Lepisosteus oculatus: one gene and its partner. The protein of the gene in region 2 purifies or fractionates together with the protein of the main gene of each other region. This does not show direct contact. Links are inferred from orthologs where the notes say so. Each region holds a gene or a part of one and is shown on either strand. Other genes may lie near its edges.

What was found.
Region 1: the proteins of psmb2 (region 2) and psme3 fractionate together in Homo sapiens (co-fractionation; 3 studies listed by BioGRID and IntAct, with this or other methods). This does not show direct contact. The link is inferred for Lepisosteus oculatus from reciprocal best matches to the Homo sapiens genes PSMB2 and PSME3.

Annotation. Positions count from the first base shown.
Region 1 is NC_090723.1:3,612,727-3,616,477, reverse strand, and holds the start of psme3 (proteasome activator complex subunit 3), read right to left. Parts: upstream 2,352-3,751; 5' UTR 2,310-2,351; coding exon 2,268-2,309; intron 1,395-2,267; coding exon 1,362-1,394; intron 1,259-1,361; coding exon 1,196-1,258; intron 1-1,195. UniProt on the Homo sapiens protein: Subunit of the 11S REG-gamma (also called PA28-gamma) proteasome regulator, a doughnut-shaped homoheptamer which associates with the proteasome. 11S REG-gamma activates the trypsin-like catalytic subunit of the proteasome but inhibits the chymotrypsin-like and postglutamyl-preferring (PGPH) subunits.
Region 2 is NC_090706.1:198,211-201,961, reverse strand, and holds the start of psmb2 (proteasome subunit beta type-2), read right to left. Parts: upstream 2,811-3,751; 5' UTR 2,659-2,810; coding exon 2,568-2,658; intron 1,681-2,567; coding exon 1,558-1,680; intron 839-1,557; coding exon 768-838; intron 1-767. UniProt on the Homo sapiens protein: Non-catalytic component of the 20S core proteasome complex involved in the proteolytic degradation of most intracellular proteins. This complex plays numerous essential roles within the cell by associating with different regulatory particles.

The sequences.
Region 1 (3,751 bases), on a different chromosome or scaffold from region 2:
CAGCAAAAGGTTCTGCCTTGAAACCGGACCACAGCCTTCATCTGAAGAGTCCTGTCAAACCACCAGCCTTGGAGACACGTAACTTTATCCTTTCCTTTAACATCCAAGGAGTGATGATTAGTCCTTGAGCTCAGAGACCTCAGCTTGTTTTAAGACCTCATTAGGCTTTAACTGTTCCTTCGTCAAAACAGAAAACACAAGTCCTTTCCCCCCAAGCATATCTGCTTTTTAACATTTTTCGTTAGTTCCCTTCTTGAGGAAATAACCACAAGGCAACAGAGAAACATTTCTCTCTCCCGTTCGGCTGAGCAAGGGGTAAAGCTCTATTCGCTCACCATATGACAGTCACACAGCATTGGTCACGTACTCGGCAGTGATCGTTCAAACCAAGCACCAGACCTTAAATCTCTTCAGTAACTCCAGAAAATGTGAGGCTCCACGTTACTGAACTCAATTCTAGCTTGATTCACACATTGATTCCAGCACTGCTGTGGTGCCCAAGACGTAAGGCTGCTAACTTAGAAATGTTAATTAACTTCACCCAGTACAATTCATGGTTCTGGGAGTGCGGTGACCTTTTTAAGCCTCTCTCGGACGTAGATATCTGGCTACACGGAGGGGGCTTACACCCTCTCCAGAACTTCGATCTGCACGAAGGTGGTTATTTTTCTCCTCTGCGGTATTATTGCCATCCCATCAGCTCTCCGACCCAAAGGTCTGGCTAGGGTGTAGTAAGCGTTGATTTCAGCACAATGAACAGCAAGTCGTGTAGGTGAACCAGCAGGGGGCAATCTTCTGTTGAAGACAGAATTACTAATTGAAGAGCCCCACTATGGGGACAGGGAATACCGTGCTGTACAATGATTTCAGATGAGATTGAACTAATGTCCTGATTATTTGGTTGTTAAAAGATCCCTTGAAACAGTTTTTCCAGAATTGGTATGTTAAGCAAGCATCTTGACTAAATCCCATTCTGGGCTTGCATGATCCAGCATGGCTAAACGTCTGGAGTAATTCTCACCACAACTGATTGGTGATTTGCTTTTCAAAGGTGAATAAAGTGCTCTGGGAACCACTAACAAGGAAAGTGCAGTTTAAACGCAATTCGTCTTCTTCCAGGTCTCCTCAGCTGTGGATAGGAGCTCTTACACAACGAAAACCGCGCAAACATAACGGTAAAAATCGAAAGACTTACCTTAAGAAAATGATCGAGTTCCAGTAACTTCTTTGGAAAGAAATTTGCGACTAAGTCTTCTGCCTAGAAAAGTAAACATTGGGAAATGCGAGCTCTAAGTACAGTACAACTTAGTTTTTTATTTACGTTAAAAGAATCGTTTTAATTTGAAAGCAAAAGTACTTACTTCACCGGTGATTCGTTCTCTGAAAGCATCAACCTGTAGAAAGAGTAAACGTAAATCGGGGTCCACAACTAGACTGTCAAAGACTGAAACGTTACCCGTCTGTGTAGAACATTGCCAAGGCTGTGCATTTAATACAGTAACGTAAGATTACGCTTGAAACAGAATACAGCACAAATGCAATAACACGTGAACATGATGCTGGCCAATATATCTACTGGGTGCAAGATTTTTCATTCGTTTTCGCTGTCTGTAGCTTCATCGGGACTGTCTCCTGAACCGAATTGTTTTGTCACTCAGTTTTTATATAAATATATGAGCACATGCGCCGTGCGACTCTGAAGATATAGATTTCGAATAAGATAAACACCCAAGATATCCGGCTCCAAGGAAGTAGCTGTTGAAGGGACAGCAAAAATGTTTACGATCGTTTTTATTCTTTGACACAGCTCTTGGGATTGGACCCGGACATTCACTCAAAACAATAAACAGGACACGTGTCAAAAAACACGAATTCCAAACGCAGGCCAAATCGCACTGAATTTATTGTGCATTACAGGCGCTACGATCATACTATTATTTCACATTATGGAAAAGACTCAACCACAAACGCCTTAATTTCGACAGCAGCAGACACGCACCTCCGGCCAGAATGAAAGAAGGGGCAATACTATTGGAAATATCGGAATATACGGAAATATCCTGTTTTAACTTCAGATAATTCCATATAAATCGACATACGCAGAGCAATTATGACTATATCTGTGAAGCACAGCGCGGGAAAGCCAGGCGATTATGCTAGGCACTTATTTAATACCCCGGCCTTGTGTTACAGAAAAATTTCCGACTGTTCAAATTTCAACACCACATCCCCCTCGCGTCAGTCTTTCTCGGATTACCGTCTCTTACCTTAGTTTTGATTTCATTGTCCACTTTGAGGAGAGAAGACATTCTATTTTCAGACAAATAGGGAAGGGAATCTGAGATCGTATTAACAGAAATAACCGTGTGGCTCCTTTCAGCTCCTATTCACAGCCACAAGGTATCAAAGGGAGAGAACGAGAAATGACGTAGAAAAGCCGCGACGACAATGAGAGGCGAGGAAAATCACCCAACCACGTGGAAGTAGCGTGAAGCTGGCTACACTAAGCGACACGAATGACCCGGAAGTGTATGTCAATAGCCGAATTTCAATCAAAATAAAAGACTTTCAGCTACCACAGCAGCTTTTGAGGAGTAAAGCAACATTAAGCGAAGTGACAAGCAGCTGAAACACCTGCTTTATTTCGTCATGGTTAATTTGAGAGAGTCCTTTTTTAAATTTTAAATCGCCTCCACTTATCTCCAAGTTTGACAAATCTAAGATTATTAGAAGTTTGTATTAATTTTACAGCCCCTTTCTACTACTGTAATATACTGCTATATTTTTTTTTCATAAAAATGTTTCTGTTCAATGAAAAAGGTTTTAAGATGCAAGCTTTTAAAGGAGTTGTATCTGAAATTTGTAATTAAATAAAATCCTTTATTATATTTAAATTCAATCATTTTTTTAAACTATAACCAGGGACAAAAACATTTTGTGCACAATCAAAAGTGGTGAAACATACAATGTTAAGACAGTCAGTCAATAGCAAATCACCCTTCTTCATTCCGTTTTAAGTTTTTATTAATATTGTTGGTCTGGGTGGATCACCTCTAGAAAAACTGCAGTGCAGAATTGGATGGGGAAAATTTGTGCCTCTCCAAAGGTGGATGCAATCTATTGCACAGACCCTCAGCTGATAGAAAATCACCTTGTTTTTGTCAGACAAGTGTCTCTGTCAAAACTGCTGGGGTCTGTAGAGCACCTCCCATCCCCAGACTGAGACCGTGCACTGATGGACAGGGAGCGGTCTCACCCACCTCCCGACCAAACACAAATTTGTGCCTCTTCAAAAATACCTCATATCTATTCTACAGACCCTCAGCTTATAGAAAATCGCCATGGTCTTGTCAGATAAGTGTCTTTGCTAAAGTTGCTGGGGTTTATAAGACCGTAAAGTACGGGCCTTGTGTAGAATCACGTGATCCGCAGAGCACCATATTACCAGCAGTTGGTTATCATTCTCTTGTCTTTATTTATTTATGCATAAACAATAACAACAAATACAATACAAACAAGCGTACATATAACATTTTACGACAAAAACATCGTCAGGGGGTACATATTACAAAATAAATTCAAATTATGAAAAACGTTTAATCTTTCTCTTATGTCCATCCAGGGTTAGAATCACAGGTATCTGTGTAATCTGCATTGTCATGAAACATTTGAAAGAAACTATAATTAGCATCTGCAAATACAAATATAACTGATTTACAGAATATGACATGTATTGCGATATGTTGTAAAT
Region 2 (3,751 bases):
TTCAGCTAAAGTTTATGTTTCTTCCCCACAGTGTCTTGAAGATGCAAAAGATCTGTAAACAAACACACAGGTCTTCTCCATTAGGTACCTTTGTGTAGCTCAGAGATTCCCCTTCTGATATTTATTCTCCTACCTGCTACTTGCATGCAACACACTGCACATGCTTACATTAAATGCAACCTGTCTGGTGTTGCTGCCTGTCCAGAATTTTTCAGGAAGTCTTTCTGAATTTAGTTGGCCAAGTATAAACATAGTGGTTGCTAATCCTGTTATCTGCAGGTAACCTATAAACTACTAACTAATCCATTATCTAGACATAGTTACATAAATTAAAAATCGCAGTGTTCCAAATACAGATCCCTGTAGTATTCACTGATCCCATATTTGCAATTTTCTACAGCTGAAAGCCCTGAACAGCTCAACGCTGGCAAAGCACTACTGACTCTTACACAGCTGTGTACCTAAGACTTAGACAATGTACATTTCTCTCCATTTTTTTAGTAAGAACTTTACTTAAAAATACAATTCTAAGTTGACCTCCAACATTTTAGTGATTTTAAGATGACAGTTAACCCATAAATATCAGTGTTTTGCAGTACAAGACTCATTCTCTTGACTAGATGGATCTGCAGAAGGAAGCAGATGCATGGTGTCACTTGTGAGGAACAATGGACGACAAGTCAACTGGATCTGACTGGTTAATGTGATGCACCAGCTACCACAACACATCACGGCCAGCAGACACAGGGCCCCCCGCAGAAACTGACCCGGCTCCGCAGGTAATCCGCCAGGTTCTTCCGGGTGAAGTTTGCTGCAGCTGCCGGACTGAGCTCATAACCTGGGACAGAGAGACGGAAGGAATCAACACTCAGTTACGATCAAAGCAATTACTTGCCCTAAGATCTGGTGCACTCAATTTGTATGCACATGGAACATGACCACTGCACTGTGACAAGGTGCTGCAGTGGATTCTAATACAATCCATCATCATTATCTGGGGTCCCAGGAAGAAAGTATCAACATGTTTTTTAAAAACACAGGGTCACACCAAAGCTTTTACAGAAGCCTGCTTTTGCACAAATAATATAATCTATAACTGCATGTTTTATAACTGGTTTTGGGCTTTGTGTATATAGTTTTTAGCATTTAGTTTGCCAACTACAAAATGTTAGAAATAACATGTGGAGTATTTAAACACACAAACAGACTACATATTTAAAGTAGAAACTGAGCTGTACAGTACATCTCACTGCTTCTGGTGCAATGCAAAGTACAAATAATTTCATTTGGTACAATACCTGCTGAACAAGCAATAAATATGGTTCGTAAATATTGTACGATATACTTTTTACAGATTGGACCATAACCTCTAGACAGTGCAGGAAGCAGATTATATGTCAAAGGGAGAGGGGCTGCACTTGTAGAAGTGCTCGGCGATGAAACAGTCTATCACAGCCACGGAACACTGTTCTGTATTGATGTGGCTATGAGACGACACTGAAGGCTGGGGGGGTAAGAGAGGAGGCTGCAGTCCTGCAGACAGGGGGCGTGTCTCACCATTTCTCATCTTGTACAGCTGCACATTCTTCTGGATGTACTCAGCAAACTGCACCGTGTCGCCCGCCTCGCCCACACACAGCAGCAGGATCTTCTCACTCAGCTTGAACATTTTGTCGTAGTCTGGAGGAGAACACACAGACGTCAGTCTTGCAGCCTTTACATGTATAAATACATCCCCATGTTGCCATGAGGCGTGTCATCCACTCAGGGAGATATTCCCCTCCACCTGTCTGCGCGGGGCTGGACTGTCTCCATGTGTCGGGGTGCTCAGCAGCGCCCCTCTCCGCTGAGCCCTGTATTCACCCACCACTCTGCGTATTCTTCCGTGTCCAGAACCTCCAGCTAACTCTCTCAAAGTCCAGAAACTGTTTCGCGGGAAAAAAAATAAATTACAGGTAGACCCAGACGTACAGCCTGCCCGCCAGAAACACGCATACAGCCACGCGTGGTCTTACTACAGCTGCTCCTTCATCTTTCAGGAGCAGGGAGAGTCGCTGTGGAAGCGATCTGTCCGCTTTCACTTCGCTGCTGAGTGACGCCTCGCGGGCAGGCACCCAGCTGCACCGCTACCCTGCCGGCCCTGTCCTGCTCAGCAACAGGAGACGTGTTCAGTTTGTCTCTGCCTTGTGCGGAACCCGCCGCGCCATTTAACACAAACGTATCCTGGACCCCCCGAATCTACTGCCGCTGTTCCGAGTCCAGAAGGCGGTTCAGGGACTCCAGGAAAGCCAGAGACACCACATCGTGACGGGACTGTAGATTAGAGACTAGTTGCAGTGAACCCGAAACTGAAGCACGAACAGTAAAGCACAAACAGATTTATTTTGTATCTAGAGACTCACAACTTCAAAAGCTTATTTGAAAGCTGAGTACGAGAACCCACTCATCTAAAAGCACCTCAGTTTTGGTTTAGCCCAAAACTGACGGCAGAACTGAGGGGACGTCGCAGACCTCTGAGAGACAGACCCGCAGAAACCCGAAATCGCCGGCACACGGGCCGCCCTCACCGTGTTTCATCTGAATGATGCTGCTGGCCGCCACGGTGTCAGCGGCCACCAGGACGAAATCGGGTCCTTGGATTCCGATCAGATATTCCATGCTGATACCTCAGGCTCCGCTTTCTGTCCGTAAACAACCCTCGGTATTTAACAATTTCTCTCTTCCCGGCGTCTGTCAGAACCGGCCTAACTCTATTATTACACAGCAAATATAGACCCCAGCGCGATGTAATGCGTCATTGGCATGCGACCCGAGTTTCGCCTTCAAACACGTGATCTAAAACAGCCAATGAACAGAGTAGCTGTTTTCAGCGCTGTTGCCCTATGAGCGTCTGTGACGGGAGAGCAGCTGTATGAAAGACGTAATGTTGGGAAATGTGGGAGAATAATGCTCAGTATTGTTGTTTCCCCCTATCAAAGGCTAAGTAACGACTTAAAATTTTTTTGGCTGTGACTGGTTAGACTTTGACGCAGTCAGGACCATTCTAGTGTAAAGGAACAAATAGGTTTATTCCCTGCTGAAAAGAGAAGAAAGAAAATACAACGTTTCGGCTGTGGAGCCTTCTTCTCGTGTCAGGTCACATAGCTCACACCTGAAGAAACGTTGTGTTTTCTTTCTTCTCTTTTCAGCAGGGAATAAACCTATTACAGGTTGAGAATCCCTTATCCGAAATTCCTGGGACCGAACGTGTTGCGGATTTCGGATTTCGGAATATTGTTATATTTGCATCTATAAAATGGGACAGCTTGGGGATGGGACCCAAGTCTAAACAAGATATCCATTTACATTTCATAGTGTAGCTTATACATATACCCTGAATGTAGTTTAATATAAATTTGTAATGATTTTTTAAACATTATACCATCAGAAAGGTAAGATATCAGTCTCCACCTATGATGTTGTTTTGATTAAAAGGTTACAGTACATGTATGCCATTTGTATTTTATTTTTTACTATACAGTTATTAAGTTTTATGTAAGGTATAAAAACAAAGCATTGAATTACAGGTAAATAAAATGAAAACTGAAAAAAGTCAGCATTTTATTTTTTAAAGTAATGTACAAGTAATGACGCTAGTCAAGTTACACTCATACATGGAGGTGAAATTCAGATCTCACGTAAAAATAACGTTTTGTACTTGCTGTACAAAAAAACTAAACAAAACATGATGATCACTGCTTACAAACTTGAA